2 linked regions of the Callithrix jacchus genome follow. The protein of the gene in region 2 purifies or fractionates together with the protein of the main gene of each other region. This does not show direct contact. Links are inferred from orthologs where the notes say so. Each region holds a gene or a part of one and is shown on either strand. Other genes may lie near its edges.

Region 1 (9,153 bases), on a different chromosome or scaffold from region 2:
GGTGGAAAAAAAAATTTTATTTAGACAGTGTAGCTCTGTTGCCCAGGCTGGAGTGCAGTGGCAAGATCACAGCTCAGTGAAGCCTCAAACTGCTGGGCTCAAGTGATCCTCCCACCTCAGCCTCCTGAGTAGCTGGGTAAGTGCACTCTGCTCTACCATGTGTTTTTTTGTTTGTTTGTTTGGTTTTTTTTTTTTTGTAGAGATAGGGTGTCACTATGTTGTTCAGGCTGGTCTTGAATTCCTGGCCTCAGGTGATCCTCACCCCTCAGCCTCCCAAAGTATTGGGATTACCAGCAGGAGCCACTACACCTGGCCAGGTGAGATCGAATCTTACTCTTTTTACTTTTTATGTTTTTTTTTGAGACAGGATCTTGCCCTATTGCTCATGCTGGGCTCAAGTGATCCAGCTGCCTCAGCCTTCTGAGTAGCTGGGACTACAAGTACTTGCCACCAAACCCAGCTATTTTTTTTCCTTCCTTTAGTAGAAATGGAGTCTTGCTGGTCTTGAAATCCTGGGCTCAAGTGATCCTCCTGCCTTGGCCTCCCAAAATGCTGGGATTACAGTTGTGAGCCACTGTGCCCAGCCCAGTGAGATGCAGTTTTAAATATGGTGGCTTGGATGGCCTGGAGCAGAGAACTGAGGCCATCTGACTTGGGTTTAAAAGCTGCCAGCTCCAACTGTCCAGCTCTGGGGCCACGGCGCCAGACAGCGGTGGTGGTTACAGGACCGTTGGTGTTTACCAAAACTGAGACCTGTCCATGCAGCAGAGGGGAAGTTCACAGTACGTAAATGATGCCTTAATAAGCCTGAGTTAAAAAAACAAGCAACTACACAAATAAGGAGTAAAACAGTAAAGAGAAGGACATGCAAGGCAGGACTGGATTCTGACCCAGGATAAAGAGAAATTGCGGGATGGCAGCTGTGCAGTCAGCCCAGACAGAGCCAGCCAGACGGAGGACAGAGGGCAAGGGAGATGGTTTAGAATGTTACCATCATATGATAATGATAACTAAGCCATGGGAAAACAAGGCAATTTTTAACCTTAGGGGAAAATCTCTCAGAAATGAATGGAATCTAACAGAAGCATCATGAGAGGAAGAGGAAGGGAGACAGAGCTAAATTGGGGCTAGGTTTGAGTTATATGGGGCTGGGTGTGGTGGCTCACACCTGTCATCCCAGGACTTTAGGAAGCCCACACAAGAAGATCATTTGAGCCCAGGAGTTCAGAACCAGCCTCGGCAACATAGTGAGACCCCTCTCTACAAAAAACACAAAATTAGCCAGGTGTGGTGGCATGTGCCTGTGGTCCCAGTTACTCAGGAGACTGAGGTGGGAGGATTGCCTGAGCCCAGAGGGTCAAGGCTGCAGTGAGCCATGACTGTGCCAGCCTAGGTGACAAGAGCCAGACCCTGTGTCCAAAAAAAGAATTTTTTAAAAAGTAAAAGATCTAAATTGCCAACTGTTCATCAATAATTAACGTTTAAAAAATATTAAGAAAGGAAGAAAGAAAGGAATGAGTAAAACAGAGGGAGAGAACAAAGTGTCATCTTCATAAGCTCGAGACCAGTGCCACTGTCACTACTGGCAGAGCTCCCCAGATTCTGCAAAATGAAACTGTTCCTCCTTATGGAGTAATAGGGACTGAATATGTACTGCCACATGAAAGAACCCCCAAACCAGACCAAATATATGGAACACAATAAACTGGCTGTGGGGCAGTGAGGGACAGTGACAGGTGGGAGCTGGGAAACACTTGAGGTAAGCCACGTGACTGGCCCAGTGCCCTGTGTGGAGTTTCCTGGTGGAGCCAGGCAGATACCCGGACTTTATGAGTTGAAACTCTGAATCAGAGAGTCCCAGTAGCTGGAGTTTGCAGGATGGGGAGCTAGAGAGAAGAGAGCTGCACAGGGAAAAAACCCTGGATATCCACGGAGAGTCCTCCTCTGGTGTCAGCAGACCACCAGTGAGCACAGGCATGTGAGGAAGCTACCCAAGGCCAGGGAAAGACATCACCCCAGCAGGAAAGGAAGAAAGGTGACTCCAGTATGCAAGCAGGACAGGGACTAGCAGCTGTCCCCACCCACCAGGATACAGAAGCTCATATTCACCTGGGCAGCATTGGCCAGGGTGCCCTGAATGGTGTTTGTTGCCTCCATAGCCGGGAAACTGAAGTCTACCATAAGAGCTGCTCCAGTCCCATGCAGCACATCTTCAGAGAAAGACTAAAAAGGATCAAACCGTTTCCATGTTTTCTGAGGATACGCAGTTGTACCTCTTTATTTCCACTCTCAGAAAATCCAATTGAATCTACAAAAGAGTCCTAAGACTGAGTTTAGTGTATTTACAGGGAGCCAACTCCTTCCCCAAACACTAGTCAGTTGACCCAGCACTTTCTTCACTGTTAGAGGAAAGAAGCTCATGTTAGATTTAAAATTCAGGAAAAAAAATTAACGCTAAACTTGCAAAAATTATATGCTGTATATTACAGTTACACGTTTATTACTATTAACTTCAGGGGAAAACAACTGTAATAAATGTAACTATAAGGAAGGATTCCAAAATGTTGACAGTAGTTGATGCTGAATGAGAGCCCAGCTGATTTTCATTTTCTTCCATTTCCTAAATTGTCTTCAATTTCCTTGAATATCTGGATTCTAGAACCTCCCCTGTAACCGAAGCACAATGACTAGAATATTGGGAGGTGCTGTAGCTGAAATAAACTCAGACTTGGAACAGTAGCTCAGTTTTATTTTCTGTGGTAACAAACATTTAAGAACCAGATCAAACAAGGGGCCCCTGAGCACCCACGGGCCAGTACAGGCCGACCATGAGGCTTTCACAGGAAAATAGCAACTGTGGGAACTCCTGCCCTAGGGAAAGCTGGGTGCCCTACCTAGGGAGACGCAATATTAGACCTCACCCCATTTTCCCAGGCCAGGCTTAGCGGGGAACGGGGGGCCCAAAGCGCTGCATGGTCCGCAGCACCAGGGAAAGCTGGTCGAGAAAGTTGATGACGGAAATTCGGAGCAGGCGACAGTCTTCAGCTTTCCAGCGGCTAAAAGTGAGGGATAAAGAAAATAAAATTGGAGGTGACAACTCCTGGTCCGTCACTCTGCCGCTCAGGCACCCATTACAGCAAAGCCTCGGGAGCCCATGAGACAGCCCCTCAGGTGGAGACCGGCCCGGCGCACCTGGCGCTCCTTAGGGTTCATCCATGGGTGCCCCCTACGTCTCCATCGGTTGCCTCCCCCAACTCCAGCCCCTTTCAGAACTTACACGGTCAGGATCCTGCCGCTCACTGTGAGATCCTTCCCAATCACCCTTTGGTGGGGCTCGGCATCTGGAGCCAGGGACCCATGCGCGATTTCCGCCTCCAAGGGGGTCGGGAAAGGCACACTAAGGGTGCTGGGGGGGCATTCGGTTAAGGTGCCATCTGATACGACTTTGCCTATGTCTCAGGCCTTCTTGATCCTCTGAAGCCCCCCCTCAGGTCACCCTACCTAGAGTCATTCGCTTTACTCCTCACGTGGCCCAGGCCACCGCTGGCAGGGCTTCTCTCCTTCCATTTCTATTTCTTCCCCTCCTCCGAGCACCCCTGCTCGTCTACCCCGGTCGCCGCCCGCCCTCCTTTCTTCCTCCCCGAATCCAGCCCTCGCCCCGGCGCAGGCAGCCGCCAGTCTGTTCCCGACCTCCCCTTGGAAAGAATACAATATGTGCGGCCGTATTCCTGAACCCCTGGCCGCAGATGCGGCGTCTCTGCCAGGACCTGGCGGGTGCGGTGGGGAAGGTTCGTCAGCCGGAGCTCCCGCTGTGTCCGTGCCCCTGGGGCAGCTGTGGCCACCCTGGCCATCCCTGCCAATTGTGCCTGCGCCAGCGTGTGCATTCGCGCACCGCATGACCTCCGCCGCCACGCAGCTCGGACTCCACCCCCGAGGCGCAGGCCCCCACGCCCCGCCCTCTCTCCCGGTCCCTTTCCCGAATCCCCGCCCCCTGCGCCCGACTCCGCCCACACGCGCCGGCACTCGTTCTTGGGAAGCCTGCCTGGCGCGTGGTCAGTTCCCGCCAAGCGGCCCTGCCGGGTGCCTTCTGAGACCGAGTCAGCGGTTAAGAGGCCGCGGTCTCCTCCAGAAACTCTGTCCCTTCGCGCGTAACTCGATCCCAGGCCGTCAGTGCAAAGTGACCCACAGTCAGTCAGGCCCCAGGAAGCCAGCCCTGACGGGGTTTTGAAGACCCCGTGGTCGCCTAGCCCAGAGGCGCACCCTGCAAGGCTCCGCCCCTAACTGCGCCTTGTGACCGCAGCGCGCCTGCGCCGTCTAGGGCCTGTGGCCTCGGCCGGGCAGGCCCTAGTGAGGCCCTAGTGAGGCCCGAGGGTGTCTGGGCGCTTCCCGCCCTGTTTCTTACCGGTACCCAATATCCCCCGGAGATGTGGCACTAACGTGCATGCAGCGACTCGCGGAGGGACGGTGGCGGGGTCTGATACCCCCCCACAAGGATACTGCTCTTGCCCACGACCCCATGGTCCAACCGAGGGGGCTTCACAGTGGACGGTAAAGAGTCGGATTTACATTTTAGAGGAGGCATTTTAGAGCGGGGTGGGGGCGCTGTGCGGAGCGGGAGCCTGTCAGCAGAACGCCTGCACTGAGGCGAAATATGACGGCCTTGAACGCAAGTATTGGCGCTGTGCCTAGGTCTCATATAACGTGGAAAATCAGACTGCACAACTATGAGTATGAAAATGCCACTTTAGGCCGGGCGCGGTGGCTCACGCCTGTAATGCCAGCACTTTGTGAGGCGGAGGTGGGGGAATCACCTCAGGTCGGTAGTTCGAGACCAGCCTGGCCAACATGGAGAAATCCCGTCTCTACAAAAAAAAAAGAAAGAAAATGCCACTTTAGGGCAGGCTAAGTGGCTCCCGCCTGTAATCCCAGCACTTTGGAAGGCCAAGGGAGGAGGATCACTTAAGCCCAGGAGTTCAAGACCAACATGGGCAACATAGTGAGACCACATCTCTACAACAAATACAAAAGTAACTTTTCTTTTCTTTCTTTTCTTTTTTTTTTTTTAGAAACGGGGTCTCACTATGTTGTCCAGACTGGAGTGCAGTAGCTATCCACAGGTGCAATACTACTGATCAGCACTGGATTTGACCTGCTCCATTTCCAACCTGGGCCGGTTCACCCCTCCTTAGGCGACCTGGTGGTTCCCCGTTCCCGGGAGGTCACCCTATTTATGCTCAACTTAGTGCGGACACCCGATCAGCATAGTGCACTACAGCCCAGAACTCCTGGGCTCAAGCGATCCTTCAGCCTCAGCCTCCCGAGTAGCTGGGACTACAGGCACGCAACACCGCACCTGGCCAAAAATAAATTTTAAAAATTAGCTGGGCATGGTGGAGCATGCCTGTAGTCCCATCTACTTGGGGGACTGAAGAGGGTGGATTGCTTGAGCCAGGATTTCGACAACAGCCTGGGCAACATAGTGAAACCATGTCTCCAGAAAAAAATGCGTACCTGTGGTCCCGGCTACTAGGGAGGCTGAGATAGGAGGATAGCCTGAGCCCGGGACGCAGAGGCTGCAGTTAGCCGTGATCAACCCACTGCACTCCAGCCTGGTTGATAGAGCGAGACCCCGCCTCAAAAAATAAAAAGAAAAGAAAAGGCCAAGTTAGTCTCTTACTGTACACATGTAGAGAAATCCTAGAGCATACAGCAACATGTAAATCCTCATGATCTCTGCATAATAGGATAGGGGTGATTTTAATTTACTTTTAGTTTTACCTCCAATTTTTCCAAAGTGGGTTTTTATGACATTTACAGTAAAAAAAAAAAAAGAAGTATTGGCTGGGCGCGGTGGCTCATGTCTATAATCCCAGCACTTTGGGAGGCCAAGGCGGGTGGATCATGAGGTCAAGAGATCCAGACTATCCTAGTCAACATGGTGAAACCCCATCTCTACTAAAAATACAAAAATTAGCTGGGCATGTGGTGCACGCCTACTTGGAAAGCTGAGGCAGGAGAATTCCTTGAACCCAGGAAGCAGAGGTTGCGGTGAGCCGAGATCACGCCATTGCACTCCAGCCTGGGTAATAAGAGCGAAAACTCCGTCTCAAAAAAAAAAAAAGTATTGGCCAGGTGCGGTGGCTCACACCTATAATCCGAGCACTTTGGGAGTCTGAGGCGGGCTAATCACGAGGTCAAGAGATCCAGACCATCCTGGCCAACATAGTGAAACCTCATCTCTACCAAAAATACAAAAAAAAAAAAAATAGCTGGGTATGGTGGTGTGTACCTGTAGTCCCAGCTACTCAGGAGGCTTAGGCAGGAGAATCTCTTGAGCCTGGGAGGTGGAGGTTGCAGTGAGCTGAGATTGTACCACTGCACTCCAGCCTGGGCAACAGAGTGAGACTCTGTCTCGAAAAAAAAAAAAAACATTGCATGGGATCACATCTCTGGTTAAAACCCTAGAATGATTTCCTTTTGCACTTGGAATAAAGTCCTGCTATATCTTATAAAAGTCCCAGCTCCTTCTCCTGCGTCTGGGACCTTCTCTCTGCTTCCGACCAAGGGCAGCCTGACCCCAGACCTTTGCACTTACTCTTCTATTTGTAAGACTGTCCCCAAACTTTCCCATGGCTAGCTCCTCCTCATTATTAGGACCTTGGCTCCAGTGTCACCTCCAAGAGGCCTTCAGGATAACCAGTATAACTCAGCACCCCCAGGCATTCTTCATCACATTTGCCCATTTCAATTTGCTATAGAGTATTTCTTTCCTCCCTCTCCTCCCTCTTTCCTTCTTTCTTTTCTCTCTTTCTCACTTCTTTTTCCTTCTTCTTTTTTTTTGATGGAGTCTCGCTCTGTTGCCCGGCTGGAGTGCAGTGGTGTGATTTGGCTCACTGCAACCTCTGCCTCCCGCGTTCAAGCGATTCTCCTGCGTCAGCCTCCCAAGTAGCTGGGACTACAGTTGTGTGCCACCACACCAAGCTAATTTTTGTATTTTTAGTAGAGATGGGGTTTCACCATGTTGGCCAGGATGGTCTCGATCTCTTGACCTTGTGATCCGCCCGCCTCTGGTCTAGATCTCTTGACCTTGTGATCCTCCCGCCTGAGCCTCCCAAAGTGCTGGGATTAAGGTGTGAGCCACCACGCCCAGCCTTCGGCCTTATTATTATTATTATTTTTGAGACAGAGACTTGCTCTGTTGCCCAGGCTGGAGTGCAGTGGCACAGTCTCATTCACTACAACTTCCACTTCCTGAACTCAAGCAATTATCTTGCCTCAGCCTCCCAAGTAGCTGGGACTACAGGTGTGGTACAGCTGTGTGCCACCATGCCCAGCTAATTGTAATTTTTTTGTCCCCAACCCCTAATTTTTGTGTTTTTGGTAGAGGTGGGGTTTCACTATGTTGCCTGTGCTGGTCTCCAACTCCTGGGCCCAAGTGATCGCCCACCTCACCTCCCAAAGCGCTGGGATTACAGGCATGAGCTACCGCTCCTGGCCATATAGTATTTGGAATAATCTGTTCATCGAATCTCCTGTACCGTTGTTTTCCTTCAGTGCCATATCCCTAATGCTTAGGATGGTACAGTATGTACCGTAGGTAGTTTGTTGCTTCTTGAATGAAACAGACTAATTTTTTTTGAGACAGTTTTGCTCTTGTCACCCAGGCTGCAGTGAAGTGGTGCAATCTTGGCTCACTGCAACCTCTGCCTCCCGGGTTCAAGCGATTCTCCTGCCTCAGCCTCACAAGTAGCTGGAATTACAGGCATGCACCACCACGCCTAGCTAATTTTGTATTTTTTAGTAGAGACGGGCTTCACCATGTTTGTCAGGCTGGTCTCGAACTCCTGACTTCAGGTGATCTGCCCACCTTGGCCTCCCAAAGTGCTGGGATTAGGGCCTGAGCCACTGTACCTGGCCTTTTGTTTTTGTTTTTGAGAGACAGGGTCTCACTCTGTAACCCAGGCTGGAGTGCAGTGGCATAATCGTGGTTTGCTGCAACCTCGACCTCCCTGGGCTCAGGTGACCCTCTCACCTCAGCCTCCTGGGTAGGTGGAACTACAGGCGTGCACCACCATACCTGGCTGATTTTTGTATTTTTTGTAGGGACTGGGATCTCTCTATGTTGCCCAGGCCGCTGTCAAACTCCTGGGCTCAAGCTATCTGCCCACTGTGGCCTCCCATTGCATCTGGCCACCTATATTTTTTTTGAGACGGTTTTGCTCTTGTCACCCAGGCTGGAGTGCGATGGCGTGATCTCAGCTCACTGCAACCTCTGTCTCCCAGGTTCAAGCAATTCTCCTGCCTCAGCCCCCCAAGTCGCTGAGATTACAGGCATGCATCACCACGCCTGACTAATTTTGTATTTTTAGTAGAGACAGGGTTTCTCCGTGTTGATCAGACTGGTCTTGAAGTCCCGATCTCAGGTGATCCGCCCACCTCGGCCTCCTAAAGTGCTGGGATTACAGGTGTGAGCCACCGCACCCGGCCTTCTGTTGTTGTTGTTGAGACGGGGTCTTACTATGTTTCCCAGGCTATTCTGGAACTCCTGGCCTCAAGCAAGCCTCCCACCTCAGCCTTCCAAAGAGGGTGGGTGACAGGTGTGAGGCACCATGCCCAGCCGTCTATATTTACATTGTTCAAAAGTCAAAACTATGTTAAAAAATATATAATATATATAAATTTATAAATATATATATAAATGTATATATTTATACATTTATATATAAAATTTATAATATATATACATTTATATATATTATATATATATATATGTGGTAGAACTCCTGATCACCAGGTCAGGAATTCGAGACCATCCTGGCTAACATGGTGAAACCCCAACTCTACTAAAAAATACAAAAATTAGCTGGGCGTGGTGGCGCGTGCCTGCAGGAGAATTGCTTGAACCCAGGAGGCGGAGGTTGCAGTGAGCCAAGATCATACCACTTCACTCCAGCCTGACGCCTGGCGACAGAGCGACACTGTCTAAAAAAAAAAGAGTGAGAAAAAGGAAAGGTTTTTATAGAGAAATGGCAAGTAATAGGTATAGAAAAAAGTATCAGAAAATTACCATTTTTGTAACCATCAATGTAATAATTGTTATTAACTTAATAATTGATTCAGGATGGCCGGGAAGGGTGGCTCATGCCTGTAATC
Region 2 (10,093 bases):
GCCTCGGTGGCTGCCTGGTCGTGTGCCAAGCAGCTGGAACATGCTCGCCAAGGCTTCTACCCTGGCTAATGTTTTCACTGGTCCAGCTGGTCTGTTACCTTCTCACTTCCATGTTTCCTGCTTCCACTCTTGCCCTCTAGGTTTTCTGCCAGCAACCAATGAAACCTTGTTACAGGGCCCTTCAGGATCTGGCAATGCAACCTTGTTACAGGGCCCTTCAGTATCTGGCTCTACCTCTCCCATCTCAGGTTCTGCTCCTTGCTCACTGATGCTGGCCACATCCACCTTGCTGTCAGGGATGTTCCTTCTTCACCAACTTTATACGCCACAGCCTGCCTGGGATATGCTCCCTTCATCTCCTGTTTCTGGTTTTCCTTCACATCTTCACTCATCACTGTCTGAAACTGTCTTATGTTCCCCAGGAAAGTAAGCTTCATGTTCCCCTCTATTATAGTAATCTCCAGTGCCTGGCACATAGTGAGTACTTATTTGTCCATTCTCACACTGCTAATAAAGTCATATCCGAGGCTGGGTAATTTATAAAGGAGAAATTTAATTACTCACAGTTCAGCATGGCTGGGGATGCTCAGGAAACTTACAATCATGGCCAAAGGGGAGCCAAAAACGTCCTTAATATGGCAGCAGGAAGAAGTACTGAACAAGAGAAAAGCCCCTTATAAAACCATCAGCTCCTGTGAGAACTCACTCACTATCATGAGAACTCACTCACTATCACGAGAACAGCCCCCAAGATCAAATTACCTCCCACTGGGTCCCTCCTGCAACGTGAGGATCACAGAAACTACAATTCAAGAAGAGATTTGGGTGGGGACACAGCCAAACCATATCAACTAGGGATTTGTTGATTTAATGCACAAAAGCACAAAGCAGGTACTAGCCTTATGGTACATGTGAGGAAACTGAGGAATGAGCCATCTCAGTCAATGTTGGGAATATTAATTAAAAACTCGTCAGCTCCTGTGGCCCTTGGAGTTCCTAGAAAATAATGTTATATGCCAATACTTATTACAGTACTATAAAGAGACACCATATCCCGTATCTCATTTGACAGTGGAAAGAATACTGATTCAGAGCCAGGTAAAAGTGCCCCTTGCTACCTGTGATGTCTTGGACAAGTTCCCGCCTTTTGGGATCAGTTTCTCCATCTATAAAATGGGGATAATGCCTAATTTAAGAGTTATTTTAGATCCAGTGTAAAAATTCCTAGCCCAATGCCTGACATGCTGTAAGCAGGCAATAGTAGTTTTCCTCTCTACTAGTCACAACTACCCAGGAAGAGAAGTTTTCTCTCATTCCTGGCCATCCACTCCATGTTGGGCACTTGGGGCGTGCTGACAGTGATGAATGAAACAGACATGGTACTGGTCCTACTATTATAGAATGTTTGCTTCACGTGAACAGGCACTGACTGTATCATCTCTGAACACAATGGAATGAAGGTAGGAATGAGTAACAAAAGAAAAACTGGAATATTCGTAAGTGTGCGGAAATATAGATTTCTAAACAATCAAGGGGTCAAAGAAGAAATCACAAGAGAAATTAGAAAATACATTGAGATGAATGAAAACAAAAGCACAAAATACCAAAACTGATAGCGTGTGATGAAAGCAGTGTGCAGAGGGAAACGCACAGCTGTAAATGTCCATATTGAGAGACGAGACAGTAACTATGTGAGGTGATGGGTGTTAATTAGCTCATTACTGTAGTAATCATTTCATAATGTATATCAAAACATCATACAGTATACTTTACATTTTTTTATAAAAATAAATTTTCTTACAAAAGAACAGGCACGCTGTGTCTGCCTAGCTCACCACTGTACCCCATCCCCATTACGGTGCCAAGGAACACAGAAAGCACTCAAAATACGTTTGTTGAATGGAGTTTACAAGGAAGAAAGGTATTTTATACCTCCTTTCCCTCCCCACCCACACATGGCTTCTTCTGGGGAAAGAAATTGAGGCTGGGCAAGGTTAAAAGCTAGCTCCTAGTACTTCTAAATCCACACTCGGTTCACCTGTGCCTTAAACCAGACTTCATCAAACTTCAGTCTTCACAAGTCACTTTACCATTTTGGCTCTACCTACTTACTGCCTGTGATAGAAATTAACTCAGTTTGCCTGCCTGTATGAACTTAAAAGGAACTTTATATATCACTTGTCTTACTTAGAAGGTAACCACAGAAATACGGAGCAATAAAAATAAAAACAATGTTAACATGCATCTCAGGTGCCCGAAAGTTTTAAGTCTGTTTTTTTTGAGAGAAATTGGAGTTAAGCAGTTTTCATTTTTTGATCATGACCCTGAAAAAGAAATATATTTGACATCAAAACTCAGAACATCCTTGTCTCTATCTACATGTGAAAGTTTCGTAAAACAATACGCTGATATTCTGTAATTCTACTTCATTTTTAAAAATTCTAGTTGTATTCCCATTAAACTGGTTTCAAGACAAATATATCATGTGCAACAAAAAAACACTAGGTTATGGGGCTGATAAAGACATACTATCAGCAACTGAGACTTCATCCTTGTCTCACAGGGACTAAAAAGAGAATAAAGTTCTCATGCGGTTCAATGCTACACCCATGTACCTGAGATGTACAAGCCACAACCTGGGAGAAAGCCTGCCCTAGATTTACTTTAAATACCCAGTTCTGCCTAGAACATGTCTTAAGACACATAGAAAGCTCCAGTAGTGCAGATGATAATGACACACCAGGGATGATCACACACCACTTAAAAATATCTTAACACCTTTACTTAGATCGCCTCTCTTACTTGCCGCATTTCTTCAAATGTACTTTGAAAAAACAGCTTCACTGCGTCTGGCTGTCAGACACATTCTTCTACCCAACCATGGACCTCTTTCTTCCTCTCAGGCGTACCTCATCTAATTTTTTTAGCACTGGCCTGGCCTTTTTGGAGGAGGTGGAGTAGCTCTTCAGAAAGGCTTCAAACACAGTTTCAGTGTTGGGATGGGTACTGAGGAAGGCCTTCTCCAGGACGTAGAGGTCTACTCCCTTATCCTCTGGAAGTGCTGAAATGAAACTCAGCCCAAAGTCTATCAGCACGATATTCAGCTGTTCGAGGGGTGGTTTCAGGAGCATGTTGGAGGTGGTGAGATCACCATGAATGAGGTCTTCATCGTGCATTTGAGCCAAAACCTGCCCAATTGCCTTGGCTAAGTTGGAGAGGCTCTGGGGAGTTTTTTCAGTCTCCATAGTGGACTGAATATAATCTCGAACAGTCACCGAGCCTTCAATTTCTTCCATATATAAGCAGTTGGAAGCATAGTCCACAAAAAAGACAACTGGGGCAGATATTCCTGAAATCAAGACATAAGTGGTTATTGCACTGGATTTTCTTTTTTAATGGTAAACTTAATTTTCAAAGATTAAGCCAGTTTTTCCAACTATATCTACTTATTTCAGGATGATTTAGGAATGCTGCAGGAAATGGCACAACTTAACTCATCTGGAATATTCCCCTGCTCACGCCCACTGCAGGACTATGCCTGGGACCACCCCACAGCTAAGCTGAGGAGGCAAAAGCTTCCTCCTCCCTTCCAAACCACCCTTTCTCACTGAACTTCATTTATCACACTCTCTCCCTGAAAAAAAAAAAAAAACAAAGGCCAGGTGCAGTGGCTCATACCTGTAATCCCAGCACTTTGGGAGGCTGAGGCAGGCGGATCACTTGAGGTCAGAAGTTCGAGACCAGCCTGGCCAACATGGTCAAACCCCATCTCTACTAAAAATACAAAAATACAAGTAGCTCGTACTACCAGCTACTTGGGAGGGTGAGGCAGGAGAATAGCTTGAACCCAGGGGGTAGAAGTTGCAGTGAGCCGAGATCACGCAACTACACCACTCCAGCCTTGGTAACAGAGCGAAACACTGTCTCAAAAACAAAAAACGAAAATAAAGAGCAAGGCACAGCCCAATCAGGGCAGGTTCTACTGATGAGGTCACAAACAGGAGGCCAAGCAGTGGGCTGACTTTGAGGTTCATCTTCAGAGAGGACAGGGTTCAAATCCCATCTCCTTTTCTTATTAGTTCTCTAATCTTAAAGTTACATTAACTTCTCTAAGCTTCAGTTTCTGCTGCTATAACATAGGAACAACAGCTCCAATAAACTCAATGAATCTTTACCGAAGGTCAACCAGGCTCAGTATACTTTTCTAGAAACTTAGAGATAAATCAATGGGGATACAGCAATAAACGAGGCAGTTATAATACAATTCCTGCTTAACATAACATATCATAAGAGGTGGAAAACAGAAATACGAACACACAAATAACTTCATGAAATCTTGTCTTTACAAGGGCGGCATGTGTCTGCTTGTTGGCTAATGAATTTCTGGGCTCCCCTCCCCCAGATCTCCCAGCACTTAACAATGTTCTGGTGCCCACCGCTGTCTAAAAAATATTGATAAAAGAAAGAAAGGCAAGAAGTGTAAAAGTGAAAAGCCAGTGCTTCTGAGTCAGGGGCATACGGATCTGAGGGCCTGGACCAGCCACTTAGTAGCTGTGTAACCTTGGGCAAGTTACTTCTCTCTTGAGTGCCAATTTCTCATCTGAGGACAAGGTTTATTGTGCTGGCGCACAATGATGTTTAATGAAAAAATAAATAGGCAATTTAATGAAGTCCAACATTTATTGAGCACTACGTGCCAGGCACACATTTGAACATAATACGTGGCACATATACCTTCTCTAATGGTCACAACATCCCTACGACATGGATACTGCTACTATGTCTCCCATTTCACAGGTGAGAAAACTGAGGGTGAGAGGCTAAATAACTTGTTGAAAGGCTACATAAGCAGCAGCAGAGTTAGTATATCAACCCAAAGAGCCTGGCTCCAGATTTAATTACATCTGTTTCTTAAGACTAATAAGTAAACAGATAATGATTGAAAATTGAAACGAGTCAAATAGGGAAACCAAGGCTCAGGGAAGTTAAACATGTTCAACGCTGAGCAATAATGACAGAGCCCAGATCTGAACCAGGCAGAACGGCCCAGGACAAACGCTTGACCCTGCACGGCCACGTGGTTTCTTAAGACTTAATGACGAAAGGTATGAAAGAATAACATTTCCGAAAGGCAGGCCACGGCAGAAGGCACATAAGGAGAGACTAAGGCAAATCAAGGCTAGGAGAGCAGAAGAGTACCTCACTCGTCCAAGCCCCAGAGCCTCGGGGCCACCCACGCCGGGATCCCGGCCCACCTTACCCGCGCGGCGGCAGCGGAGGAGGGCCCGGGCCTCCTGCACAGTCCGTCGCCTGCCAAGCCGCGCCTCCAGCGCCGGGTGCCGGTAACCCTTGGGGAAGCGGTGCTTCACCACCGCCGCGCGACCCTGGAAGCGGCCGCGGAATACGCGCGCCTCAGCGCCCTGCTTCACCAGCTCCAGGCCGCTCAAGAAGCTGCTGCTCCGCTCGCGGGCCGCGGCCAGAGCCTCAGCCTCCGGCGCTGGTTCCTCGCCACCGTCCGACACAGCAGCTCTGGATGCCGCCATGACTGTGGTCCGCGAAACAGTTCCGATCGATCAGCGGTCCCTGAAAACGATCGCGATGCTTCGGCTCGCTTCGGAAATCCTCGGACTTCTGCTACCCGAACGCGTCTACCCCGGAAACTTCCGGCCTGTGAGTGGCTACGCCTCCCAACTTTTAGGCTCTTTCTGAAGCCTTGGGTTCCCTGCAGGAAGGGCTCTTGTGGCCCCGCCTTCCACCTCTTCCGTTATCTCCGTAGCGTTCGGCAACTCTCGGAAAGCGGCCCTTCCCCACTCCTCGGCTCTCTCCGGAAATCTTCGGTGACTCTCGCAGCCGGCTTTGGGGCCCACCTCCAAACTGGTTGTCTCTTTCCGGAAAACTTCGGCGCCTGTCGAGAAAAACGTCGGACGCTCTCTGCTCTTTTCAGGAGTCTTCCTGGACAGCTGCACCCGCTAGTAGTTTGTTTTTGGAACTCCTCTTCCCCTGACTCCTAAATTTTCCCCAGAATGTAGTCAAACTAGTCAGAGTCGCGCGGGTCAAGACAATGAACCCATGTTTCCGACATCGTCTTAAGTGTTAGGTTAACCACCATTTAGTGCATTCAGAAGAAATAAGGATAAATGATGAAAACCCTTCCTACGGAAAAGAAAATGGAGACTCAGAGAGGGCAATGGGGGTGGTAGGATGGGGCAGGGAGTGGGGGCTGGGGAATCCCGGAAAATTTTCCGGAGACAGAACATAAACTGAATTGGGAGTAATTAAGCTTTTTCAGTTTCTACCTGTTTCATTATAAAGCTAATACAGGCCGTAGCAAATTCTTACAATACAGAACTTTGCACACACACACATGCATCAAAACCTGCCTATCGCCCTTGCAATGTGACGCCGCTGGCCGTTAGTTTCTTTCCAGGCTTTTCTTTTATTCAATGCGCACACTCACACATGGTTGTGGCGTTTTTTCCAATATGAACGACATCATACTGTGGGTTCTTTTGCAACTTGCTTTTCATTCTCCTAGACAATTTATCTCGGACTATATTCTATTTCAGTGCATGCAGAGCTACCACGTCCTTCTACCTGTTGCGAAACAGTTGTTTCCAGTTTGTTGTTTTTCAGGAAAACATTTTACTATTACCAGTTTCTTATAAAAGATAGTATAAGAGATAAAAATGAACAGCCAAATGAAGAGATACAGGGGTAAAATTTAAAATGGTAGGCATTTATCGTAAATAACATGTTTTGAAATATGTATACATTGTGGAATGGCTAAATCCAGCTCGTTAATATTACCTCACATACTGATCATTTCGGGGCTGAGGACACTTAAAATCTATTAGCATTTTTTCAATATAACACAGTGTTATTATCTACAGTCACCATGTTCAATAGATATCATGAATGTATTCCTCTTGTCTAACTGAAAGTTTGTGAGTTCAGTTTTCTTACCTTCCTTATGTAAGTGAGACCATGAGATAATTTGTCTTTCTGTGCCTGGCTTATGTCCTCCAGTTCCCGTTCCAGTTCCATCCATGTTGCTGAAAATAACAACGCTTCTTTTTCTTTCTTTTTTTTAATTTTATGTGTGAGACCGAGTTTTGCTGTTGTTGCCCAGGCTGGAGTGCAATGGCACAATCTTGGCTTACCGTAACCTCTGCCTCCCGGGTTCAAGAGATTCTCCTGCCTCCTCAGCCTCCCGAGTAGCTGAGATTACAGGTGCATGCGCCACCACACCTGGCTAATTTTGTATTTTTAGTAGAGATGGGGTTTCTCCATGTTGGTCACCCTGATATCGAACTGCCGACTTCAGGTGATCCGCCCTCCTTTGCCTCCCAAAATGCTGGGATTATAGGCGTGAGCCACCGCGCCCAGCCTCGTTTCGTTACTTTTAAAGGCTGAATAGTATTCCATTGTGTATGTATGTACCACATTTTTTATCCGTTCATTCATTGATGGACACTTAGATTGAGTCTATGACTTGGCTATTGTGAATGATGCTGCAATTAACGTAGGAGTGCAGCTGTCTCTTCCATATACTGATTTTGTTTCCTTTGGTTATGTACCCAGTAGTGGGGTTGCTGAATTATAAGGTAGTTCTATTTTTAATTTTTTGAAGAACCTCCATACTGTTTTCCATAATGTCTGTACTAATTTACATTCCTGTCGACAGTGCAAGAGTTCCCTTTCCTCCACATCCCTGCCAACACTTTTTATCTTTCATATGTTTTATCATAGCCATTCTAACAGGTCTGAGGTGATATCTCATTGTGGGTTTAATTTGCATTTCTCTCATGATTAGTGATGTTAAGCATTTTAAAAAATATACTTGTCCATTTTTATGTCTTCTTTTGAGATCTTTTGGATCTTTTGCCCATTTTTAATTCAGGCTCTGTGCTTTCTTACTATTGGATTGAGTTCCTTATATATTTGGGTATTAGCCCATTATCAGATGTATGGTTTACAATTTTTTTTCCCATTCTGTAGCTAGTCTTTTCACTCTTTTCTTTTTATTGACTTTGCAGGAGCGTTTTAGTTTGATGCAATTCCATTTGTCTGTTTTCACTTTTGCTCCTTGTGTTTTGGGGGTCATATGCAAAAAGTCATTGCTCAGACCGATGCCATGGCATTTTGCCATTTTCTTATAATAGTTGTATAGTTCTGGATCTTACATTTAAGTTGAATCCATTTTGAGTTGATTTTTGGCATATGATCTAATTTCTTTCACATGAATATCCATTTGTCTTAACACCATTTATTGAAAAGACTGTCCTTTCTCCATTATGTGTTCTTGGCATGTTCAATGACAATCAATTGACTGTTAAGTGTGTGGATTTATTTCTGGGCTCTCTATTCTGTTCCATTGGTCTGTGTGTGGGCTTTTATGCCAGTGGCATGCTGTTTTGATTATGATCACTTTGTAGTATATTTTGAAGTCAGGTAGTATGATGCATCAGGCTTTGTTCTTTTTACTCAAGACTGCTTTGACTATATGGAGTCTATTATGATTCTTCATAAATTTTAGAATTTTTTTATTTCTACAAAAAAAGTCAATGGAATGTTGATAGGAATTACATGTAATCTGTAGGACATTTTAACAATGTTAATTCTCCAGTTTTGTTACTTTTTTTTTTTTTGGTCTCTTATAAACAGTGCTGCAGTGACCAGGGTTATTCAGCCATCTTTGTACACATGAATGAGTGTTTCTGAGGACATGTGATATTGCTGAGTTGTAGATGACAAGCATTTTGAAATTTGACACCTCAGCCAAATTACTCTCCCAAAGTTTTGTGCCTGTTTACACTTCAGCCAAACTCGTGCCTCATTTTCCCGTATCTTCAACTTCATTGAGTTCAGGTGCTGGAACGTTCAATCAGGGGATGAAGTGGGAGGGTGCTCAGGTTCCAGACAGCAAGAACAGACACAGGGTAGGGTTGCGTTTGACAAGGAGCAGCAGTTCCACATGGCTGGAGCAAGTTGGCACTGGGGACAGGCTGGGAGCTGAAAAAACACGGACAGTGATCTGGTCCCAAAGGATTATTCTTGCTGGAAGAGAGGTGCTGTGAGCCTGGGGTGACTGACCAACCATGGCCCTTTGAGGCCTTGACCTCTGGCAGTAGAATAAGCAGCTGGACTCTGAGTAGAATAGCCAAGCAGTAAAGGAGAGGGAGGCTTCTACTTTTCAGCCCTTTCTGAGCCTGAAAGAGAACCTATGGCCTCTTCCTCATTTCCACCCATCAGTACCAGATGCCCATTCATTCATTTATTCACTAATTCATTCAATAAATATTTACTGAGTGGCTACTATGGGCCAGGCACTATGCTAGACCCTGGGGACAGAGCTGTAAACAAAATAGAGAATAATTATTACTGCCTTCATGGAGTTTATATTCTAGTGGGTGGAAACCGACAATAGACAAGTAAGGAAAATGTGACGTTGGCAGAGCTAACAGGTAATATGGAGTGAAATCAAGCAGGGAAGGGGGATGGGAAGAATGAATGTATCTGGAGTGCCAGGGACCACTCCAGTTTTTGCCTGTTGCCCTGGCATAACTATTATTAGCACTGCCACCTTTTTTCTTTTCTTTTTTTTTTTTTTTTAATGAGATGGAGTCTCATTCCGTTGCCCAGACTGGAGTGCAATGGTACAATCTTGGCTCACTGCAACCTCCACCTCCCAGGTTCAAGTGATTCTTGTGCCTCAGCCTCCCAAGTAGCTGGGGCCACAGGCATGTGCCACCACTACACCCGACCAATTTTTGGGTATTTTTAGTGGAGATGGGATTTCACCATGTCAGCCAGGCTGATCTTGAACTCCTGACCTCAGGTGATCTGCTTGCCTCGGCCTCCCAAAATGTTAGGATTACAGGCATGAGCCACTGCACTCAACTTAGTATCCCCTTTTTACTCTCAAAAGCATTCTGGTTTGGACGATATAATATATGGTTACCCTATGGGTAGTAGAATGGAAATGGGAGGGAGTGATGCAATTTTATTTTATGTTAGTATTTATTTTTATTTTAATTGAGACAGTGTCTTGCTCTGTTGCCCAGGCTGGAGTGCAGTGGTGCAACCTCCTGGG

What was found. The genes of interacting proteins can lie anywhere in the genome.
Region 1: the proteins of TP53RK (region 2) and LAGE3 purify together in Homo sapiens (affinity purification with mass spectrometry; 5 studies listed by BioGRID and IntAct, with this or other methods). This does not show direct contact. The link is inferred for Callithrix jacchus from reciprocal best matches to the Homo sapiens genes TP53RK and LAGE3.

What each region holds. Positions count from the first base shown.
Region 1 is NC_133524.1:150,269,190-150,278,342, forward strand, and holds LAGE3 (EKC/KEOPS complex subunit LAGE3), read right to left. Parts: upstream 3,933-9,153; 5' UTR 3,898-3,932; coding exon 3,710-3,897; intron 3,407-3,709; coding exon 3,278-3,406; intron 3,057-3,277; coding exon 2,942-3,056; 3' UTR 2,922-2,941; exon of another isoform or gene 2,668-2,921; 3' UTR 2,475-2,667; downstream 1-2,474. UniProt on the Homo sapiens protein: Component of the EKC/KEOPS complex that is required for the formation of a threonylcarbamoyl group on adenosine at position 37 (t(6)A37) in tRNAs that read codons beginning with adenine.
Region 2 is NC_133506.1:41,907,774-41,917,866, forward strand, and holds the start of TP53RK (EKC/KEOPS complex subunit TP53RK), read right to left. Parts: upstream 5,544-10,093; coding exon 5,261-5,543; intron 3,350-5,260; coding exon 2,910-3,349; coding exon of another isoform or gene 2,871-2,909; exon of another isoform or gene 2,764-2,870; intron 2,325-2,763; coding exon of another isoform or gene 2,295-2,324; exon of another isoform or gene 1-2,294. Other genes in the region: uncharacterized protein LOC144582859, read left to right, coding at 5,542-5,670, 5,777-6,004.